3 linked regions of the Drosophila melanogaster genome follow. The protein of the gene in region 3 interacts with the protein of the main gene of each other region in a pairwise test. Each region holds a gene or a part of one and is shown on either strand. Other genes may lie near its edges.

Region 1 (8,882 bases), 3.5 Mb from region 3:
TTACGTTTTTTCGGGCATAGAAAAATGACTACAAAAATATGCAGAGTTGAACTCTAGAGCCTTTTGCCTTCGGCCTAAGCTGAATAGCAACTGTTTCTTGATTTGGCTAAATAGAATAAACTTCGCTCGTTTTGGTCGCTCGGAAAACCGAAGGGAAAATTCTCACTTTGAATGGAAACGCAGGCGCCAACTTCAATTTCGAAAGTCGAGAGCAACTCTCCAAAGAAAGAGAAATGGTAAGTTATGAGAACTCAGAATGAGATTTATGTCTTACAAGTGTGAATGTGTCTTTAATAGTGTCTTCGATCTATTAGAACATAAGGTTTTTTGTATGTTATTAAGTTCACCCATCTCATAAGTCCATATCATAAAGTATTTTTTAGCAAAAGCGTCGTGATATTTGTAAGCAATTCGTTCAGGTTTTAAGTGCAGTCAAGCAAATGTATTTATTGCAGTCTGTGCTTTTCAATTTAATATGTAAAAATCAAGTAAAATATATTTATATCAGACAGCCTATCCTGCACAACGTTAAGGTCATGAATTCGACATTTATAAATTGCTATACATTTTTCTGGTCCTCGTATCTCAATTTGCATTCCATTTAAGCCATGCAAAATATTTCTATTAGAAAAATATATCTCAGCCTTTACTAACAACTAGCACCGAAATAAAAATTCCGCAATCTGGTGGGGAAAAAATATTTTTAATTTTGCTGATTGTAGTTGCCTACAACTACAAAGGTACACGAAAAATTCTTATCAACAAACGTTGCAAAAATGTGTGCAATTAAAATCTCTCAGCATACAAAAACAACAAGAAAAAAAAACAGAAGTAAAAAATAAGAAACAAGTAGAAAGAAAATGTAAATTCAGCAAAACAAACATAAGAGAAATTAAAAGAAGTCCAAAGAAGGTTCTGGGAATCATTGGATTTTAATTAACAGAAAAAAAGGAAGGGAAAAGGGGGCAAAAAAGCGGTAACAAAGCCAAAGGACCTTCGGCATTGGTAAAAAAAAGAATATACACATGCATATTCTCTGCACTTTGTTTGTGTGTTTTTTTAGTTTACTCCGGAACTTTGGTCCTTGGTTTGTACTCAATGATTTTGGGTTTTCATTGCATGATTGCACTTTTGCGGTATTTCATTTACTCGATTTTTACTCGGTTGTGGTAATCAAACAGTTCATTTGTACCAATTTCTTGGGTATTTTAGCCAATGGATTTTCAGATATTTTGAAACAATCACTTAAACTTTGCGAAGCTTTGAATGCTACAAAAATAAATTGGTTACAGACAACTATTTCTGACTTACAAAGGGCATATTTAACAAATTTATAATGGTTTCTTTTTCTCTAGTAATTAAACATTTTTTATATGGCTTAAAAAACGTTTTGGACGTTTTTTAGGAGTTTCACAGGGGCTTACGTGAAATCTCTGGAAGCTGGAAAAACACACGAATGCCGCCAGACTCGGTGATGAATCTAGGCCCCAGGATGCATTGCGCCATATACAAACCCCCCATCAGATCGCCGAGAATCCTTTCCAGTCGCTGGCGACACACGCACCGGGTCAATTTCATGCAACACAAACAAGGGGAGGAGTTGTGGAACGGGGCAAGGAGCAGCTTTGCTGCGTGGAGGACACGTTTTCCCTCGCTTTCACCCGCTTCTCCGCCGCCATTCCTTTGAGGAGCAGCCAGGCGGACAGAAAGGCGAGCAGGTGCTCAGCTGTAACTAAACGTCCGTTTTAACATTGCCATCTGATGGTCCTGCTTCTTGTTTCCCAGATTTTGGATGGGGTGTGGCATGTGGCACATGTCAGTTGCTGGTCACGTCGCATGCAGGGGCATAATTGATAGTTCAATCTGTTGCAGATCAAACGCTTGACAGCAGCCAACAGATCAAGCTGAAAAATTGTCCAGCAGCAAGTTTGGCCAAAGAGGTGGGAACATTTGATTATATTTGATTTGTTGAGCTAATTCCAAAGAAAAATATGCTAAGTATAGAATAAATTTCATATATCTTTTTATAAAAGAGTAATCATGAGTACCTATAAGTATTGTTTCATTCATACTCCTGACTTTAATTTACCCAAAACCATTTATTATTTTAATCTCAAAAAATCTGTACTTAAATAATCCGCACTTTCTTTTATGCAACTTTATTTTTATATTAATGGATTTGTCCTTTCAGGCTGCACTTTATATTTTCCAACTTCGTGACTGTTTGTCAACCCAAAGGCGACTGAAGAAGGGATGGAAAAAAGGTCAGCCAGACAGCATAAAAACATCCTTCAGACAAATAGATTTGTATGCTTTTAAGTAATTTGCAGCACAAATTGAAATACCATGGCTAGCTTTCTATGCAACTGCAGCTTGCAAATCCACTTTAAACTAGAGATACAAATTTCTTCAATCTGTTTATACATTTTCAACTAATTCTACTTAATGCCGTATTTTGTGTGCCACTCATGTTTTGTCGCTTAATTTTAATGGCTTGCCGGGCATTAAACTTCTAGCTTCATTTATGTTTATGTTCGCATTTTTATTCGTGTAATTTACGCGTCGAGTGCTGATCATAAATTGTGACTCGAACTTCGCTGTCGGAAAGGTCACGTGGGCTCATTAAAGACCCAACAACACCGTGAACTGGAACAAGAACAATAAGTGTAATAACAGCAGCAATAAGAGTCACAAAAGGCGCACACAAAACACATGCGAACAGGATAAAATGATTTACCTTCGAAATGAAAGAATATAAAATGACACTCATTTCACAAGCAATACGTGTGTAAAAAAACACCAGTAGGGGAAATACTTAAAGAAAACCCCAGAGAAGCTTCCTGCCTTATATTTTGCTTAAAATTAACCTTTATAAACAAAACAATCTATGACGCCACGATAAGACTTCAATACGTAATTGGCTTATCACTAGATTAGAATATTACGGAAACTATCTTGTGTTGCTCGTGTTGAAATGGCACTTAAGAAAAATAATTCAGAAGTTAACGATAACATAAAATCACAAATCACAATCACTAGAATGAAAACGATATTCTATAAATTTCAAAGAATTTCTAATTAAATCTAATCAAAATGTCATTAATATAAGCTACCGACGTTGTATCAGGAAATAGCTTTTGCTATAGACAAGACAGTTGGCCTAGTTAACAAGTCAGTGTGGAGTTAAACTCGCAGGCGAAAAGACCTATTAAAAATATATAGTACAATTTAGAAAGGGGAGTTGTTATGCAAGGTAAATCTAAGATATTCTATGCAAGTACAATGCAATAAATTATTATGTCAATTATACATAAATATTTAAACTTAAATACTAGTAATAGTCTCTGTATGTTTTTTTTTTTGTATTATTATTGTATTCTTTCCTTTTCCAGATAATATTTTCAAGCCTTTGCCATGGCTTCTGGTGGTTATCGCCGTATTCTGGAGCTGGCAGCTAAATGTTTTGGCCCTGCCAAAGATCGAACCTCGTCACGAAACTTGCAACAATGAACAGCGATACGAAAACCAGGTGATGTGCGAGGGCAAGGACTTTGGTGCTTTGGTACCGTATCCGGATAACTGTAGTTTGTTCCTAGTTTGCGACTGTCTCTATCCCACGGTGAAGTTGTGTCCCGCAAATCTCTGGTGGGATAATAAGACCCAGCAATGTAATTATCCCCAAGCTGTAGAATGTATCTACTACTCGATTGAAACGCCAGAACCTACGGATGGAACTACTCGATTTACGCCAGAACCAACATCCAGTACTCAAAAGATAACGCCAGAACCCACAGAACCACCATCAAGTACGGCAAAGATAACGACAGAAAGTACCACCGGAACCAGTACAGAGATAACGTCCTCTACCCCCTCAAGTTACCTCCCAACATCCAGTTGGGATCCACCACCGGCACCACCGGGAATTTCAGATGACTACTGTCGCAACAAGGAGGATGGCTCGGTACATTATTATCCATATGACTGCCAGGCCTATATAAACTGCACTTACGGCTGGCCCGTGCTAAATTACTGTATTGAAGACAAGGTATTCAATAAGTACCTTGGCATTTGCGATACTCCCGATATGGCAGATTGCGAGGAGCTGCCCCTTCCTACAACCACAACAGAAATGCCGCCCACTTCAACAACTGAGGAGGATGTGGTTTGCGGTCCAACGCCGGAGGGAATTGAAGAGGATTATTGTGTGCCGAAGGGAAATGGTTTCTATGAGTATCCTTACAATTGCAGTGGGTACTTGGCCTGCAAAAATGGTTGCACAGATTTGGATTACTGCCAGCCGGATAAACTCTTTAATAATTGGCTGCACATCTGCGATACACCCGATTCGGTGCGGTGTGACCCCCTGCCATTCCCCACAACTCCGGGAACAACCAACAAACCAACGACGCCTTCAGTCACGACGACGCCTTCAATCACTACAACTCCTTCAACGCCTACAACACTGCCTTCTGATGGGTCTACAACGGAAATACATTCTAGCACCACAGAAGAGATTGTAACCACTACAGATGGACTTCCCTCTGATGTCGATCCAAATGATTGTAAAGATGAAAAGGACGGCACTATTTTTGCCTACATAGGCAATTGTTCGGAGTACTTAATATGTAAAGACAATCAAGTGCAAATGGGTCATTGTCCTCCTAATACGCTCTTCAATCCCGACTTGCTTGTATGCGATGAGCCAGATGATGTTGTGTGCCTTGGAGATCGCACCACGACACCAATTCCAACCACCATACCAACTACTACTACTGAAAAAACCACTCCTACCACGACTACCACCACAGTGGCAACAACTTTGGGACCAGATCAGCTTTGCGATGGTCAGGAGTTGGGAGCTTCGTTTTCTTATCCGGATGATTGCAGCAAGTATTATCTTTGCTTGGGCGGCGGACAATGGACTCTGGCACCCTGCATTTACGGCAGTTATTTTGATCCCAGCACAGGTCAGTGTGGACCTGATGTGGCACCCGATGCGTGCAAACCATCACAAGTCACAACCACCACAACAACAACAACGACAGAGACCACAACAACCGAAAGAAATACCACACCCAAGTCCACAGCTACAACCACCGAAAGGACAACCACAACTGTGGCCCCAAAAACTGGTATTTGCGGTGGTCGAAATGAGAACGAGAATATTGCTTATCCCAACAACTGCACCAAGTACATTGTGTGCGTTTCACCAATTCCCATAGCGTTCTTCTGTCCCGATGGTACATTCTTCAGTTCCAAGTTAGAGAAGTGCATTGATGATTGGGATGAAAGTGATTGTGAGGGTGATCAAAGCACAACGACTCTAGAACCAGGCTATACAAGACCTCCTCCGGAACCGACCATGTGTACAAATAGCAGTCGGGATACATTCCCATATCCGGACAATTGTCAATGGTTCATACGCTGTGTGGATGATTACATTTACATGATGGACGTCTGTAATTGTGGGGAGTACTACGATCCAATTACTGAAAAGTGTGGAGCGGATGTTCCTTCAGATGCCTGTCGATGGGACTACACTTCAACCACATCAACTACCAGTGAGCCGACAACGACCACAGCGGTTACGAGACCACCACCGCAGAAAGGACCTTGTGACGACGTCGAGGATGGGGCCCTTGTCGCTTATCCCAACGATTGTTCGAAGTATATTCAGTGCGATAGACCCATTGCGGTTGCCTTTGAATGCGAAAAAGGAGATGAATTTAGTGTGGAGCTTGGAAAATGTGTTGATGCTTCACTCGCCAATTGTTCGATTACAACCACTGCTAAGCCATCGGAGTCGACGACTACACCAAGAGACGGGGAAGGCTCAACAACGCCTTCCGAACCATCAACGGGATCTTCTACAGAATCGTCTACAGAATCAACAACAGAACCATCTACAGAATCAACAACAGAATCAACAACAGAATCAACAACGGAATCAACAACAGAATCATCTACAGGACAATCAACAGAAACTACAGAATCATCTACAGTATTATCTACTGATACTTCTGAATCACCTTCAACAATTTCAACACCACCATCATCTACTACAATGGAACCAGGAACAACTAACCCGGAAGCTTCTACAACTGAAAAGCCGGCAGATGGAATTTGTGAAGGCAAGACAGACGACTCCTTGGTACCCTACCCGAGAAACTGTAGCAAGTATATAAAGTGCCAATATCCAATACCAGTTGGTTACGATTGTCCGGATGGTTTGGAGTTTAGTCCCACGGAATTGACCTGCATGGATCCCGAACTAGCTGGTTGTAGCACTAAGTTAACCACACCAGGGCTTACAACTTTAAGTACAGAAGCTTCGTCTACACCGGTAACAACAGTTTCAACAACACCCGAGGCTACCACTACAGAAATGTCAACTACTCCAAAGACTACTACTACCGAGTCAACCACAATCTCAACAACAACCACAGATTCAACCACTCCCCAAACAACTACAACAGAATCGACAACTTCCAAAACAACTACCACAGAATCAACGATAATTTCAACAACTCCAACGACAACCGAGCCAACAACTCCAAAGACCACTACTACCGAGTCAACCACAATCCCAACAACAACCACAGAATCAACTACAGCTACAACCACTCCCCAAACAACTACCACGGAATCAACGACAATTTCAACAACTCCAAAGACTACTACTACAGAGTCAACGACAGTTTCAACAACCCCAACGACAACCGAGTCAACGACAATTTCAACAACCCCAACGACAACCGAGCCAACAACCGTTTCAACAACTCCAAAGACAACAACCACCGAATCGACAACAGTAACAACAACAACTGAATCGACAACCACAGTTTCTACACCAACAACTCTAGATCCGTACACCCCCAATATATGCTGTGGCCAAGCTCTTGGAACTCTGCTTCCGTATCCCAATGATTGCGGTCGCTATGTCGTCTGTGACTATCCCATTCCATATGCCGTGGATTGCGATGAGGGAACGATTTTCGATGATAATCTTCTTCAATGCACCTCTGTTCCCAATGAAAGGTGTCTTTTTATTGAATTTTAAAAAAATATATTAATAAAGCATAAATCACAGCAATAATCTTTTCCATTTCTGTTCTTTTTGCTACCCCAAAAAATCAATTGGGTAAATGCACAAATGCTCAATAGCTGGGAATCGCTTAACATATTCCTCACACATTACACTTCTAGGGCTTTCTAAGTCCTTTTTTAAGTGTTTCACTTTTTAGACATATACTTTGCTCCAGTTTTAGTATCAATTACATGCAAACCCTTTTCCCGTAATATGTCGCAAAAAAACGGAACCAAGAAAAAAAAAGTAATTTACCACTTAACACAGTCAATTCCCCGGACAGGTAACAAGCCGATTGGAATTGCAGAACCTCCTGTCGAAAGGATTGCAAACGAAGACCCTCAAGGGGACGCAAACGCGCGACAGTATTTTTAGCAACAGGCTAAAAGCAGTTTCCCCTTGACAATGCCACGTCTGATATCCTGCTCAGTTACAAGTTTCAGCCATTTATCGTAGCCTGATACTGCCGTTCTTGGCCCAAAGCTGAAACCCTCGGAAGCTCGTCTAATCAGATTTGGGGTTGGCCACATAAAAACACAATTGCCAAGGAATTATCCTTAGGGTGTGAGGTGGCAGGCAGGACATATACAATTGAGGGTAAATATAACAAGCACAAGGATAAGTTGTTCAGTTTTGTTGTTGCTACTGCGGTTGTTGTTGTGGAAATCGAAGAAAGGGAAAGGAAACCAAAGCAAGTTATGTATGTGAGCATCAATGACAGTAACGACACAAAATGAACACAATTCGAGCAAATTGTTTGGCAATAATGTTAACTTAATGCGTTCCATTTGTCGCACTTGAATCGATAGACACGCGCGAAGGCGCTCCTTCGAGTGATTTGTAACGCTTTGATAGCCACCCAGGATAAACAAGGATTTGTGCTTGTGTCTAGAGGGATAATCGTGGAGGAGCCCCAAAATTGAGCAACAAGTCACAAGAATTTCACTTAATTGAAGATAAGACTTTGCCTTACAGCCGGGCCGATTAAATGATTTTAAATTGGGATTTTATCATTAAATGCTTATAAATTAAATATCGATTGCCTGGGTGTCGCCTCAAACTGAATCTCGATGCCAAGTTGGGTAATAAAAAAACAATTTTACCTAGATTTGCCTTGGCAGATTTAGTTGAATCACTGCCAAATGAAAGAGCTGCCCAAAAGTGTTGAACAGGCAACACCCAAGAAGTTGGACTAACTTTCGAAGGGGAAGAACTAAATTTCATAATTGTTTAGTTTCTTCTCTTAATAAGAAATATTTGAATACTTAGTGTATTAATTATTTTAGTTCAACTCCTTATAATAACATATATTCCGCGATGGCAATATAACCTATACTGGGCAACAGGCCAATCCTTTTCAAAAACCCATAAATGTACCATTTAGTGTATGCATAATGTGTGCCAAGAAAGCAGTAGAGTTAGAATTTAATAGTGAAAGTTTTTGGGGGCATAAACAACACTTAAAACTAATTACAGGTAAGAATTCCCCAGCTAATTGCCAGGGAAGGCAACTTAATGGGGGAATAGAAGGAAACTTTCACAAAACTCTCAAATTGTAACGATATCCAGACATAACTAACAATTATCAAAATCTCAATGCGATGCAGTTGAAGGAGACACAAATCGCAGCGAAAACATTTTCGAAGCACTCGACACATGCACATGCATATGCACATGTATATCAAATTGCCATTGCAGAAACTCGGAATTCCCCTTCTTGCCCCATTTTCATGCATGAGTTTAGTTTATAAAACTTTTGCTGGCGCATATTAATGTGCAGCTCCAATCCATTTAT
Region 2 (6,460 bases), on a different chromosome or scaffold from region 3:
AATGTGTTAAATTGAATGTTAATTAGTGGAACCCCCTTAGTTTTTTTCCCCCTTTTTTTTGGGCTTTGTGCGGCACAAACCCCCCCCCCCCCCCTCCCTCCCTCCATTCCCCTTGAGTCCGACGCTAATAAGCCAGATTGAAGAGACCACAAAAAGGTGTCCCAAAGTAGTTCACCCGCCGCAAACCCGTTGCGTGGATGGAAAAAAATATAATATCGTAAATGAGCCAAACCCGTTTGCATGTGCGATTTCGTTCGATTTTTATGTTGAATTTAATTTTAATGTGATTTTCCGTTTGGTAGTTTAGCCAGCCCCCTCCCTATATATGCTTTTTAACCTCCGCCCTGATTAGTGTTGCCATTTTAGCCATTTTATTGCCAAAACCATCTAACTAAGTAAGCTCTGCCAATGATCTATGCTAGTTAACGTTTCAAGTTACCATTTTTTTTTCAAAACTCAGTTTTTAAGAAGTAAGTAAATATTTAACAAGTCGGCAGTTTTAAGTTGTAAATAGGTGATTAGCTCAAATGTTAGTATCTAAATCTTTTATATTATTACTTATTTTGCATTGTGCTACCACTACTACTTAATTGAACATTGCAAACGGTCTGGTGTACATAAACAATTATAAGTGAAGCATATTCTTAATTGAAAATACTTAAACTTTTTAACAGTTTTCACAATTAGCTGCCAACTTATGTGGCTATGTCCCCTCAGCCCCTCAGCACCAGTCAGCCGTTTGTTTGTCTTGATTTCATGGTGACGTCTTTTGCGGCGGCTTCTTCTTGGTCCGCTGGCCGCTTAAGCCTGCTCTTCTTCTTGCCCGGCGTCTGCCGTTAGTGCCGGTGTGCCACCGCTGCAGTTGGAACGGGCTCTCCAAAACCGGGGCTTTTCTTCGAAGACGGCCGGCAGCTATAAATTGACTGGCGGCTGGTAGGGACCGGCATCAGTCGCAGCCTCTAGCTCATCCAGCACAGTCGCTTGAAAACGCAGAAACCTCAACTCAAGATGGTCAGTGAAGGATTACAAGTTCAGCTTGAAACAAGGATACATCGATTTAACAATATTATTTGACAAAATTTTTTTTTTTTTTGCGGTGCTTAAAAAATTTGCTGTGTTTGTAATGTGTGAAGTGTGTTGTCCTACTTGCAGAAATTCCTTATTGCCTTCGCCCTGTTCGCCTGCGTGGCCGCCGATGTTAGCCACCTGAGCAACGAGTACCTGCCCCCCGTCCAGAGCTCGTACGCCGCTCCCTCGGTGAGCTACTCCGCACCAGCCGTGCAGCAGACCTACGCCGCTCCAGCCATCCAGCAGTCGTATGTCGCCCCCAGCAACGAGTACCTGCCTCCTGTGCAGACCTACTCCGCACCGGCCGTCCAGAGGACCTACTCCGCACCAGCTGTCCAGAGGACCTACTCCGCCCCCTCTGTTAGCTACTCGGCACCCTCTGTGAGCTACTCGGCTCCATCGGTCAGCTACTCCGCTCCTGCTGTCCAGCAGTCGTACTCCGCTCCATCGGTCAGCTACTCCGCCCCTGCTGTCCAGCAGTCGTACTCCGCTCCATCGGTCAGCTACTCCGCCCCTGCTGTCCAGCAGTCGTACTCCGCTCCTGCCGTCAGCTACTCCGCCCCATCGGTGAGCTACTCTGCACCCTCCGTGGATGTGGGCACCCAGTACGCCTCCAACGGTGGCTACGTCTACAGGAAGTAGGGATCTTCAACGAAGAGGCCTGCAACTGAACACGAAACAGTGTCCATAACTACATACTGCCCAAATTAACCATATATTTTTTTTTTTTGTTTTGTAAACTTTTGTTTACAACGAAATAAACCGAAACATCAATAATCCAAATAAATACTTTTGTTTTTAAAATGGGTTTCAGAGTTATAAAAACAAGCGTCTAATATTAATATTAATAAAATTTTTAACAAGTGTATCCCTATTCACTTTATATCAAAATTCCGGACCAGGATACCAAAATAGCGTACTAAAAACCACGCGCGACTTGAGTGCGGTTTGGTTGCGGTTTAGGTGCGGTTTTGTTGCGGTTTTGATGCGGTTTGAGTGCGGTTCGTTTTCAAAATCGAACGTCAAAAGCAAGTGCTTGTTGGTGCTTAATACTTCAGAGTAGACAAAAGGTGGCACTTTATAAGCCAATAAAAATATAATAAAGTATACGAATGATATGTCCATACAAAGTAAAGAAGATTTATTGGCATTAGTCTATAATGGTAATTTTCAAAATTAAAAAGCTTAATTCTTCGACTAGTTAACACTAAAACCTGTAGGACAAGAACATAAACATTTAACATACATCAATGTTTTAACTAAGTATTAGCGTTAAAAAATATAATATAAAGCTTTAATTAAGTTGGGCTTTTTATAAACAGCTTGCAGCTTTGATTAAACTTGGAAGCTGCGACTATTTTAAGCATTTTCAAAGAGCTTTTAGTTTAAATATAGCATGAAACTTTATGGTTTTCCTAGTTTTAACACTAAGCTTTTGAGTATTTCAAAACTATGACTTGCAGATACATTTTCTGAGAGTGCTTGGCATTTCTGAAAAATTATTTACTCAAGACTTTTTGAAATCATTCAAAACCATTATTTAGTATATTACAGTAAATAAAACGAACCTCCTCGACGTTTTTCCTGTTTTTAATTAACACCCTTTTGCTTTCAGGTAGTAATTTTTAAAATTTAATATTCATCATAAAGCTGAGCAAGAACTTGAATCTAAATCAAATAAAATGTTACCCTTTCATTGTTCTTTCTTTTCGTTTATTGAATCTTTTTCATTATCGCCTCTTTTCTTTGTGCGATGCTGAATTTAACATTCGATTTCGGCGTTAGTTTATTTATGTAAAATCCGGCCGCTAAATTAAATTTTATAGTTCAGTTTTGGCACCTCCCCTCGCACCTTCGATCACCTTTGGATTGGCGATTATTTATGGAACCTTTGTGATGATGCAAAGCAATTTCCGTTCGCCGAATGCGAAAGTGAAATGAGCCGGCCGCGAATTTATGTAATATGTTGATATGCCGTCTTATATATGGCGGATTTGGGGCCCGTGGCCGCATAGCCACCGTCGCCGTGCAAGTTCCCAGAGATCAAACCGGAGCTCGAGATGATGCAGCCATGGGCCGTTGTGGTCCTACTTCTGCCCCTGATCAACGGAGATGTGAGTCACCTGCCCAGGGAATATATACCGCCCAGTGCGGAACTGGAGCCAACCACACGGTCTGCTGCTGATGGCCAGGAGGTGCAGAAGGATCCATCTGGATTCTATCCATCGACTGGACTGCCACTGCCGCCGGGCTATGCCATTCCCACGGGCAGCAACGTTTTGCCACAGCCTGTCCAGCCGCCAAACTTCCCTCTGCCCATCTATCCACCATTCTACGGCTTCGGCGGAGGTCCTGTCGAGCAGGGAGGAGGACATGGTATTGGGCCAGTGCCTTCGGCCTATCCCAACGGAGGTGCATTCCCGGCGGGTCCTACCAATGGAGGCGCATTCGCAGGGGGTCCTACGAATGCGGCCTTCCAACTGCCACCAGGTGGTCCTTTCGGTCCGCAAGCTGGTAATTTTGCCCAGCCAGGTGGTTTCCCGCAGGCAGGTGGGTTTCCCCCACAAGGAGCTGGCTTCCAGCCACAAGGCATCCCTGGCAATGGATTCCCAACGCAAGGAGCTCCCTTCTCACCACAGCAGGGAGTGTTCCCATCACAAGGAGGTGCCTTCGGGCCACAGGGAATACCGGGCAATGGTTTCCTAGGAGGTAACTTCCCGCCACAGGGAGGGCCCTTCCCAGGATCCGCATATCCACCGGAGTTCTTGACAAACCAGGGACTTCCCCTCACAAATCCCCAGGGTCCCTTCCAAGGACCCAGTCCAGCAGGATTCAATGTGCCCGCAGGATTCGGCGGACCTGTGCCCGGCCAGAATCCCTACCAACAATTTGGACCCGGTTTCGGAGGACCCGCTCCGCCGGGCTACTCCGATGAGCCGGCGAAGGAGCAACCAAAGGACAGTGAGAGGACAGTAGTGGCACCACCATCGGCCGACGATCCCAAGAGTGTGGCGGATACGGTTTACGCATCCAATGGCGGCTATGTCTACAAGAGGGCCAAGTAATGCGATGGCTTTCGAAGCCCCAAATTGGGGAGTTCATCAAACATGTTCGCCATAAATTATGATCCATATTTTGTTTTTTTTTTTTCTTGTATTTTTTGTGCCTTTGTTTTTATTCATTTATTTGATCTGCTGGCCATAAAGATGCGGACAGACAAAACGATTGTCTCTATGCTAATCGAAATCTTTGCCAAAACTGACTGATAACCATAAACGAGACAATCTATCGTCGTGATTGATACATATATATAGACAGACCTATGTTTTATGCATACCCTGGCCAGACACATATGTGTTCATAAACTATGTTGTCTTCAAAAGTCAATACAAGGCGATTAAAGGCTGAAATAAAAAACACGATTAGTGGTTTGGGTGTGGACTAAAACCGAAGTCCTACGATAATTATGCACATTCACCATCAAGGTTTATTGAACTCTGATATGTTTCTGGATGGAATTAAGTTTAAACAAAATGGTACAAGAATTAAAAAAAAAAACATCCACAACTTAAAAGCAGTAATAGTTTATCATGCAACAACAATGGATCATTAAAAATGGATTTATGTTTATCATTTCATATTCTAAAATAAATCCAACTTAAAAACGAATAAATTCAAATGATTGTCTTACATGTATAAATTTTGAATTGACGTCACAGAAAAGAGGTAGAGAAAGAAGCTGCCCACCTAAAGGGCAAACTTAATCGATTTAAGTTAATTTCAGCGAAATTCAAAGAACCTTCTGAGTTAATTTTAGCTTCGCGATATTTTTTTTTTTTTTTTTAATTTGCCAAACTAGTTTCTGACGTCAAAGAGTTTCCCCTAAAGAACATACATACATTTATGATAATGAACTTCTTTTCGTGAACTTAAGATGGTTATCGAAAAGGGGATTTTTCCATAGTTTAAAACCAGACTTATTCAACTCCCATGTTTGGTTTCAAAAGTCTATAGACTTCAACTAGCCCGAATTGATTTTTTATTCATCTTTTTTTTTTTTTTTTGATGTCTCCACTGAATTATTTATATGTGGCTTTTGATTGTGTTGTTGTTATACAGTAAATACATTAAAAGTCTTTATAACAACTTTTTTATGGCTTTGCCAAATGGTAAAAAATGTCTTTTTGTCTTTTGGGAGAGCTTTTGTCACCTTTTATGACACGCTTCATCAACTTACATTAGTTGGTTCATATACTTACATCAAGTGGTTTATCAACTTACATCAGTTGGGCGGTTTAGTGCTGCTATTTACTTCTGGTTGCTTAACATTCATTTGTATTTAGTGTTTTACTACACTTTCAAGTAAAATAACCTTATAAAGTAAAACAATATATAAAATAATGAACTAATTTTAAAGTATTTTATTAAAGCAGTATTGCTCTTCAGGCAATATATCACTTTTTAACAAACTTTTTTGCAATTTGCTTACTTATTTAGATATAGATTGTAACTAGAACATGTATATTATATCTTATACATCTGAGTTTTTCTATCTTTCACTCAAGCTCAAGCCCTTCCGTTTGTCGTATATGCAAATCGAAAGTGGCTAATCCAAATCAATTCAGCAGCTTTGTTGCAATTTTCGCTAAAGTCGAACTCAGCTGAATATTCATCACGATCGTGAGCTATAGCTTTTGGATATATAGAGGCTGTTCGCACAGCAATTAGTCATAATTAAGGCAGACTGTGCCCGCGGTTGTCAGAGGCCCTCAACTTGACATTTTCCTTTGTGGACTCGAACCTTAACTTGTTTTCAATTTGTCACATTTCTGCGCGTTTTTGTTCACTTTTTTGTGCGGGGCGCGTGTTTGGGGCGCCAGGTGCAAAAGAAGAAGAAAATGATGATGACAATGATGAAGATGAAGAAGAAGTTCGCATTCAAATGAATGGCCTCCGAAGATCCGCATAGTATGGTCTTTGTATTATCTTGTAAGCCCATGACATGCCCATCATAATAATCACCGCGACACACGCCTACGAGATGCATATGAAATCGTATCGAATCCATATCGAGATCCCCTGATTACCAATAATATATGGCCCATTGAAAATGTCCGAAGGTTGGACACGTTTCTGCCACCGAGTGAGATCTCAGTAGATATGCTATATTGTTGGGAAATCGGCCTGGTAGGCCCGGGCCCTTAAACGATTAACATTTTATCATAAATTCAAAACCTAAAGCTAAGACAATGGACGAAAGTCGCAGGAAAAAATCGCAGATGCTTTTGTGCATAGAATGTTGGTGCCACTGAACAAATAAATTATATTTCATTATGCCAATGTTGCAAATAAATATTTATAATTTTCCAAAAAAAAAAAATGTTATCAATAA
Region 3 (9,215 bases):
TGAAGTCCAATGGCGGCTTCCGTTTCGTGGACTAAATGTGTTATCCTGTTTTTAAAGTTTCATGATTTCATGATTGAGACGACGAGTAAACCAAATAAATAAATTCCAAGATTCATTTGAATTTAATGGGAATTTATGGTAACACTCGATTAATAAATAGCTTTATTCAACTTATTCGCATTCGTATAATTTGGATTTCGTTAAATTTTCATTTGATCTGGCACATATTTAATACACACTCATTATAACAATGCAAGAAGCCCAAACGCAAGCACTTTAGACCTTAGATTTTTGGCAAAATGAGTATAAAGTACAATGTTGAAAATTCAAGTGGTTTAATTAAAAGTACCGAATAAATTACTGGATTATTAGTTTATGTGTATATAGAATATACGGCTGTATATATCTGGACCTACGCACTACATTTTGTATATATATATATATATGCACGCATCTGTAAGTTCAAAGAGTAATGCACCTCCATTCAAAAATAGACTTTTGTGACCTCAGTTTGTGCTCAACCTCGGATTCAGGGGGTGGTTGTGTTTAGCACGACGGCATGTGGCAACGAAATTCGCTGGCTGCTTCTGCAAACCGATTCCGGATCAAGTAGCCGCTAATCACCTCAGCCACCTCGTGTGGACGGTCCTCGTGCACGGCGTGACCGCAGCGGGCCAAGACCTGCATCTGGAAGCGACCCTGCATCTGGCCAACAGTCAGGGTGCGGTCCAGTCCATCGATGCTGGCGAGGAGTAGTTGCTTGGGCAGGCGCAAGTTAAGGAACTTATCGCTCAGCCCCGAAAACCAGCCCACCCAGTACTTCTCCGACTTGGACAGATCAATGCGCCAGGTGTAACTGAGAAGCAATCAATGAATAATTTGTGTTTTAACTAAAATAAAATAAATTGGACTACGTACTTTTTGGCCGCTTCGGTTGTCGATTTGGTCGTGTTGGGCTTCTTGAAATCCGCGCCAGCTGCGGCACTTTCTGAGGAGCCATCGGCGGCGTCATCGCCCGGCGGTGACGATTCTTCATCCTCCGAAATGCTAAACGGATTGGGAAACATACTGTTGTGGTGGGCCTCCTCCAATACATCATCTGGTAATGGCAGATCATTCGTTGCCAGTTTGTTCGTTGTACAACTGCGTGGGATTGATTTATTATTACTTTTCTGTCGTTTACGACAATCCTACTCACTTTATTATCTGTCCCGGCATGGACACTTTGGCGCTGTCCACATTGCGCACTTGGCCGCTTCGGATGCACCACTCGATAGCATTCGGAATACTCTGGAAATACTTTGGACGGGAGCGCAGAAAGCTCTGCATGCTGGCTAGTGCCTCCATGGCTGTGCCCTCCACAACATCGATGACGGTTATTCCAATCAAATTGGGCACCAGAGCCATGTGGGCAAAGTGGACGGCGATGGCGCCGCCCATCGAGTGGCCAACCACAAAAAGCTGCGGCACTTCTTCAGGATAGAGCTTCAGGATTAAGTCACCGATGTCCCTGTTTAGAATATTTTAAACATTATTATAGATTATAGATTAGATTATTATGGTTTTTAGCTTCAACCGTGAATAAAGTAACTATAAAAAACTAAATAATATTTACAAATGAGTGATCGTTCAAATAGATCGACCTACTTTAAGTGCAGTGCGCTATTTTTATAAATAAAGAGATTATGCAAGTTTAGCCTAATCGTTCATAAAGCTAAGAGTTAATGCGAGAAGTTTTACTCGACAAAATCTTAAAAATATTGGTTTTTAATGTAAGCAGTAGAAAAATTTGCATAACCATCTCTAAAACATATTTTGAGAACAATATTTTTTTGGATTCAACTCACTTAGCCAACGTATCAGCGGAGAGATCGTCCTCGTCGTCCACCTTGCTGTCCCCATGACCTCGCATATCGATGCACAGGCACTGGCAGTGGATCATGCTGGTCACCTCAGACTTAAATGGATATATGTACATGTTAAGACTATTTAACAGAATATATCGCATTCACTCACACAAAAGTGCGCCCAGGTGAGGGCAGAGTAGCCACCGCCGTGGAGCAGAAGGAGAACTGGACCCGGCTTCTCCGGTTGCTTGGTGCGATAGATGCGGAAGGTGCGTTGCTCATCCACCGTGACGTCCTCCTTCTCCGCAAAGAATTCGTTCCACATGCCCGGCTTGTAGTCGCGAATGCGCGACTTCTTGAACGAGTCCCTGTAATTAGCCAAATTGGGTAGAGATTGCGTACTCCCCACTCCAGTCGCAGAATACCCTGCACTTACGCTCTGCCAATGCGCCCGCCAGGAATTGTGGGTGGCAGCTTGCCCTTCAACATCGTGCGCTGTAAACTCGACATTGATCCGATTGTCTTCGCTGTGGGGTCAACAGGTGGTGCTCCTACGGTGCAGGTGCAAGTGGTTATTCACACAGTCGTTGCTCGCAATTATCCGTTTTCGAAAACAAAAAAATAGTTCCAATTCAACGAAGAAGTATTGCAGTGTGACCGTAATCGAGAAAACCGTAACTGACGCCAGCTGGCAGCGCTGGTTCAAGAGCTGCACTTGGCAATGCCCTTGTCTGGCAACGCCTAACCGCAACAGTCAACATTTCAAATTCCAAAACGGATATTTTAGGCTTTTGCAATCAAAGACGAAAATCCGTACCATACTGAAACAACAACAGTTGTATATTTTAATGTTTGTACATTTTAATCAATTAAGTATTTTAAAAGTTTATCTACGAAAAAATTGATGAGCTCCCCGAAACACTTGTACCTTATCAGCTTTGTAAATACTTCACATTAATGGCAAAATAATAAGCAAGGTAATAACCTTTCGCAAAGTGGATGTCAAAACCACTTTTTAAAGCAGACAAAATTTGGAAACCAGTTTTTTAGAATGCTAACAAGAAAGAATTCATATGCTATGAAGATGTTTGACCCATTTAACGGTAAAGACAGCTAGTTATAAACTAACAAAGCTCTCAACAAGTTCCTACTGATACACACAGTGCAACATCGCTAGCTGGGAAACTGGTGTTCTATAAGGTCTCCGAGCATTTATATTTCAGTAATGCTACTGATAAGGAAGTATCACTTTATTGTTCATAGTATTCCGGACTAAGCAAAAACGGAAACGGAACGGGCCGGATTGCTCAGTTGCTTGATGGAACGCGACGTGCTCACACCGAAAACTAGAACTCCTCTCTGATAAGACGGCACCAAGTTAATTTGACCTCAAACAGAGAAAGATAAGGCATTGTTGGGTATGTATCGGCAAAAGTGTAAAAATCTTGACAAAATCCTTTATATCTGTGTTTATTCTGGTATGTAAACAAAAGGTAAGCTCAATACAGGTTAAGTTTATGGTTTCGAGATAAGATAAATGTCATGTTTGTCATTAATGGTCTATTTAGATTATGCGGCAGTAAGTTTAAGCGGTAGTACTTTTGAAAAACAATTACCAGCTAAGAACTTTATTGCCAAATAATTTACTATTAGTTGGGACTAGACATAAACATCAATTTCGCGGATAAATATTCAAAATAAAATCTTTATCCATTGCGCATTTCAAGGGTTAATGCTTCTGCAAGCCTGGCAACTCCTAAATAACAGCTGTTGGCTATAGTCCTCTCGCTCCCGCACACCCTTCCTTTTCATTTACCGGCAGAAATTGCACTTTTGTACTTGTTTTTTGCCCAATTAAGCGGTCAAATTGGCGTCAATCTAATGTTTTAGTGACTTTGATGCCGTTTCCCCAACTGATAACCGCAATGTTAGTACATCACTTTGTGTGCTAATAGCTATTTGGACATATTGATAAGGTGAGATGGGTTGATAAGCTAATTTTTGCACAACCACAGGTGCAATTGTTTTTCCCTTTGCCACGGCTATTTGTTTACGTATGTAAATTTGTTTTTGCCCATAAATTTAGATTAACCAGTTGCGACACGTTTACGGTTCGTCGACTGCGAAAATAATGGGCATTATTAAAGTTTCACCCGCCTGCAGGTGAACATGACTGCCAACGGGAACGGAACTGCTCAGGATTTGGGTGCCGGCATTGAAATCGTGGCCCCACAGAAGCTCCAGCCGGAATCCAAGGTTTACGGGCGCGTGCAGCAATTGACCGCATTTTTCAAACAACAATTCGGAGCGAATCCGGACTTTATCGTTCGAGTGCCAGGAAGGTGAGCAGTTCCACTCGTGGTGCACATCTATAGTCCCTTATCGATGATATCTCCTCCTTCTCCTAGGGTCAACATCATTGGCGAGCATGTGGACTACTGCGGCTATTCGGTGCTGCCCATGGCTGTAAGCCAGAGCATTTTCCTTGCAGTGGCCAAGAATCCTAGTGATAGCCAGCTTCAACTCAGAAATCTCGAGGAAGCGAAGTTTACGGGCTACGATGCCGATCTCAAAACGCTCAGGTGGGTGAATCAGAAACATGATAATTACCGACCTTAAGCACTAGAAAATTTTCCATTTAATTTGTTATAATAACAATGTCACCTTGAAGGCGGTATCTAAACGAATTTAGAAATGATAAGTCCAAATATTTTTTTGCTATTTTAGAATCGAGCTTCCAAAGAGTGGTGGACCCGCTTGGTATAACTACTTCTTGTGCGGCATCAAAGGAATACAGGAGAGTCTGGGCAGCCAGTGGAAGCCCATTGGCATGCGCATTGCTGTGGACGGTAATGTGCCCTTGGCGGCAGGACTCTCCAGTTCGAGTGCCATGGTCAGCTCCGCTGTGTTGGCCACCGCACACGTCCAGGGCAAGAAACTAGATCGCAGGGAGCTGGCTTCCATTTCGGCCATGTGTGAGCAGTACATTGGAACGCACAGTGGTGGTATGGATCAGGCAATAGCCTATTTGGGCAGAGTTGGCTGCGCCCACCACATCGAGTTCCATCCCAAGCTCAAGGGCACTCCGGTGACCTTGCCAGCGGGCAAGTGCTTCGTTGTGGCCAACAGTCTGGCTCAAAAGAACAAGGCTGCTTCGTCGGACTACAATGAACGAGTGGTGGAATGCCGATTGGCCACTAGATGGCTGGCCAAGCGCAAGGGCTTGATCAACTGGGAGGATATTGTGCGCTTCATTGATCTAGAGGAGGCGTGCCAAATGGATAATGAGACTTTCGAGAAGTTGATTAAGGACAACTTAACGAAGAGCAACTACACGCGAGCGGATATCTGCAAGGAGTTGGGAGTCACCGAACAGGAACTGGAGACCAAGTTCCTATCCGCCAACACTCGGCACATGGAGCAGTTCAAGCTGCGTCAACGTGCTCTGCATGTTATTCAGGGTAAGTTAATCATTTACAATCAGGATTTCACATTTAATCTGAATCATTACGTGTACATTAAATTTATTGATCACCAAATGAATAATTACAGTCAATTAATAATACGTTGACATTCATTTGTTGTCCGAAAGATTTAAACTCTTAGCAAATAATATTAAATTGCAAGATCAGTTAATAACATTGTTTCCGCCTAACAGAATCCGGTCGCGTGGCCAAATTCCGGAAAATTTGTGAGGAACTCGCCGGCGGAGCCAATAAGGAAGGTGCAAAACAGCTGGGTGAGCTCATGCGGCAATCCCACGAGAGTTTAAGGGAGCTATACGAATGCTCTCATCCTGATGTAGAGCGCCTGATTGCCATATCGAACCAGCAGAACGTTAGCGCCCGAGTCACTGGAGCTGGGTAAGAAAACCGATATCCTAGTGACTCTATGAATTTAATCAACATTATTCTTTTTCAGTTGGGGCGGTTGTATAGTTGCCATGTGCGATTCCATAGAAGCAGCTGATGAGTACATAAAGGTTTTGAAGCGCGATTACTATGCTCAATTGCCAACACATCTCCTGGAGCGTCATCAGCCCAACAACTTTAGCGAAGTGGTCTTTGCCACTCTACCAGGAAACGGAGCCGAGTTGTATATACAGTGAACGCTTGTGTAGCATTTTAATCCAACTTTTATACCAAAATCATCCTATCAGTCACTATAATCAAACGGTCATTTATAGAAAAAACATTTAATATGTAGAGTACTATGTACAATATATTAACAATTTACAAGCTAAAATACAACAAGGCACGTGGGGAACGGAACTCATCTGGCATCGTGAGTTCTATCTGCTACTCAGATAGCCGGCGTTCTTGAAGAGCTTGTACACCTGTTCGCGCGGTATTTTCTCCGCCTCACGATGTACCACTGCCATTTCCTTCTTCGTGAGCAGTGATTCCTTGGCCAGATTGGCAGCGATCACGGGATCATTGTAGAACCGCGCACTCTTCGACAGCTCAGCCGGCAACTCAGACTCCCACTGGGCATTTCGCACCACCGAGGGATGGGCATCGGCTGTTGCATATCCCTGGTACGGATTGGCCGGTTCGTAAGCGTGCGCAACCGGCAGACCCAGCGCCTGGTGGTAGAAGAACTGGGCCCGAACCGAACTCATGGCCAGAAGCAGGCATCCAGCGAGCAGCGTTACTTGGCAGGCGGTCGGCATGATTGGCTGCTGGAGGGGAGAAAAGGAGCAGGAGCTGGCATTATTGTCCAACGTTCTAATAAAGCGATACGGACAGATTTATTGCCGCTGGTCAGTGGCAGTTTTTAATCTACAAGTCGGCTGTCAGTTTCGTGCGTCATAAATTATGTACGGGAAAATCAATTATCGCATATGGCCAATGGAGTGGGCAACGCGGAGATCTTGGCTCAAACTGTTACAGTTGCTAATCCATGAACTTTTTTGCAACTTGGAACTGGCTTTTTTTTATTGATAAGAATTGGACTGGCCGCGAACTAAATGGCGAGCTTTATTTGTCAAGCGTAGAGTGCTCCAATTTGGTCGCAACAAAGCAATCGTAGCTTGAGATATAAGTACAGTGGTCTCTCTAGAACTCTTTTGAGATTTTAATTGCAATTGGGTAATTTGCTATAAGGATTGGTGAAAATATTATTTTTTATTTTACGTTATAATGACATTATCGAAGATGCATTTACCAAATGTATTAATTAAGAATACGTTAGCAATGAAATTGATTTAAATCATGATCATCCTTTTTAGGCTTTGATATATTCACTTCGAACTGAAACCCTGATATAATCCTTGAAAATGTGACATTCGTTATTAGATTATACACTCTTTAAACCTTTCTACTTTTTAATGATCACAGCCACTGTACATGCATTTTTATTATGCGCCATTAAATGCATTTACATATTCCAAGTCCAAATTGATACGTTGATTCAGCCAAAGTCAAGGTTACGATCCCACACAACCGAATCGGATTTCGGTTCTCCAAAAAGCACCCACTCGCACAAACACACGACACTCACTCACTTTGATCTGGACTTATTTCAACGGCTAATCCTCGAGAGAAGCACTTCAAATGAAACTGGAACACCTGGGTGAAGTTGAGACTGTAAACTGATCATAGAATATCGAGACGGCGAACTTTTATTCGCTTGCCGTTGAATGCCACAAAAACGAGTTGAACTCAAGTCTGTGAGTCAACCGATTTTCGAATCTCGCTCAAAGCGCCGCTTCTGAGCGCCGAGAATGAGTCAAGTTTTTTTTTCAGACCAGGCTGCTGCTTTACATTTTATTAAATTAATTATGGTCGCAGTGGAGTGGATTGGATTGGATTGAAGTGTAGAGTAGAGTGGAGCGAAGCGGAGGGGACTGCAATTCTGGTACAGACTGACCTAGGCCTAGGCGCTCAGCTTGGGCAATTAAAAGCAATGATATCTGTCTCCGTTTCTCATGCTCCATAAAAGTGCCCCCCAAAAAAGGTCGGACTGCCAGTCGGCAGCGTTATACGCATGGCAAAAGTCGCACAGATATATATCAACGTGCACCATATACAAATACTCGCAAAAACAATAGTTTGAACAATTGATAACTCAATTGGTTTATTATTATTCAAAGATTATTCATCGCAGCACAGAAATAAATATTATATGTTTAACTTTTTAAAAGGATAACTTTCATATAATACAATATCATTCCATTTAAAATTGTATACATAACAAATTTTTGACAGTATTTTGTATATTTTCCAATCACATATTAAATGTATGTATTTTCACAACTAATGCCCGATTTCGTGCACTGTATAGGTAGTAGTGCGATTACAATGATTGACAAGTTTGCTCAGAATCCATGTCCGACTCAATCCGAGCTTTGTGCGATTTTGAAAGTGCCAATTGACCCTGAATTTAATGCTGAGCCAGTAGAGTCTGAAACTCGAGCCGAGCTCCGTGGTGGCTGCACATGTTTGACCCTAATTTGCCACGGGTGTCGGGCGTACATAAATCTGGGGTTATTCAACCGATCAGCCCATAGGCGGAAGCATTACCCGGAGTTGCCTGCACTGGATTGAAATTGCCATAATCACTTGCCGGATGGCAGCCTTGAACTTTCCCGATCTCAGGTGCGTATCCAACTTGGCCAGCGGATTGGTATTTACATTGTTTGGCTGCTTGGATTTTTCGTTTTCGAATTCGCCTCGTCTCTGGGAGTGGTCTCTCGTTTATTGGCCGTGGCTGATTTGATATTTAATTAATGGCCATTTAGCGGCTTTGTAGATGCATATAATAAATAAACAAATTGCTTGGCCCCTGCATTGTTGACTGCGGCCAAAGTTAATGAGCTTGGTCTTTGAACTTTATTAGGCTTTGTCTTCAGCTACGTGACCGAAAATTCGGTGGAACTCTACTGCTGATTGTGTGTTAGATGGATATTTGTAGAAATTATGAATTCATATTTATGATGGGTTTGGTGCTCAATCTCTTATAATCATGGTTTCAAAAAAAGGTCTTATTTTTAAAATCCAAAATCTAAATGACTTAAGGACTAGCTTAATTTTGACTACTGTTCTTTTTAAGGTGCAGTACTGTGGATTAATCCAAAAAGTAAACCCCTTTCATTACATACTTATGTGCTTTGCTTAATTTTTATGCGCATTGCCTCGACCCACACGCAGTGCCTGCCAAGGACGGCCAATGCAATTTCAAGTGCACGAATTGGTGGGCCAATGCAAACGACTCTCGGCCGACGCGGCGTATGAGCAACATCCGCTTTGGCGGGGCGGCGCATAAAGTATACGCACCCGAGTCCGAGTCCGAGTCGAGTGAAAGTGCAGTGCGGTGACCCTGAACGAGGAGAGTCACGCCTGCCACCTCCTACCGGCTTTCAAAATG

Evidence for each region. The genes of interacting proteins can lie anywhere in the genome.
Region 1: the proteins of Galk (region 3) and CG4835 interact in a two-hybrid assay, tested with the Drosophila melanogaster proteins (one large-scale study listed by BioGRID).
Region 2: the proteins of Galk (region 3) and CG11581 interact in a two-hybrid assay, tested with the Drosophila melanogaster proteins (one large-scale study listed by BioGRID).

Annotation. Positions count from the first base shown.
Region 1 is NT_037436.4:5,476,604-5,485,485, forward strand, and holds CG4835 (uncharacterized protein), read left to right. Parts: upstream 1-3,186; 5' UTR 3,187-3,246; coding exon 3,247-3,253; intron 3,254-3,392; coding exon 3,393-7,060; downstream 7,061-8,882.
Region 2 is NC_004354.4:14,173,819-14,180,278, forward strand, and holds CG11581 (uncharacterized protein), read left to right. Parts: upstream 1-3,104; 5' UTR 3,105-3,128; coding exon 3,129-4,133; 3' UTR 4,134-4,638; downstream 4,639-6,460. Other genes in the region: CG1368 (uncharacterized protein), read left to right, coding at 1,009-1,011, 1,153-1,710.
Region 3 is NT_037436.4:8,980,027-8,989,241, reverse strand, and holds Galk (galactokinase), read left to right. Parts: upstream 1-3,150; 5' UTR 3,151-3,265; intron 3,266-3,425; exon of another isoform or gene 3,426-3,823; intron 3,824-3,933; exon of another isoform or gene 3,934-4,010; 5' UTR 4,011-4,016; coding exon 4,017-4,189; intron 4,190-4,255; coding exon 4,256-4,429; intron 4,430-4,574; coding exon 4,575-5,308; intron 5,309-5,505; coding exon 5,506-5,710; intron 5,711-5,768; coding exon 5,769-5,955; 3' UTR 5,956-6,138; coding exon of another isoform or gene 6,139-6,519; 3' UTR 6,520-7,030; downstream 7,031-9,215. Other genes in the region: CG5280 (uncharacterized protein), read left to right, coding at 1-35; CG5068 (uncharacterized protein), read right to left, coding at 547-856, 919-1,143, 1,199-1,510, 1,848-1,957, 2,017-2,215, 2,284-2,357; CG13314 (uncharacterized protein), read right to left, coding at 6,139-6,519.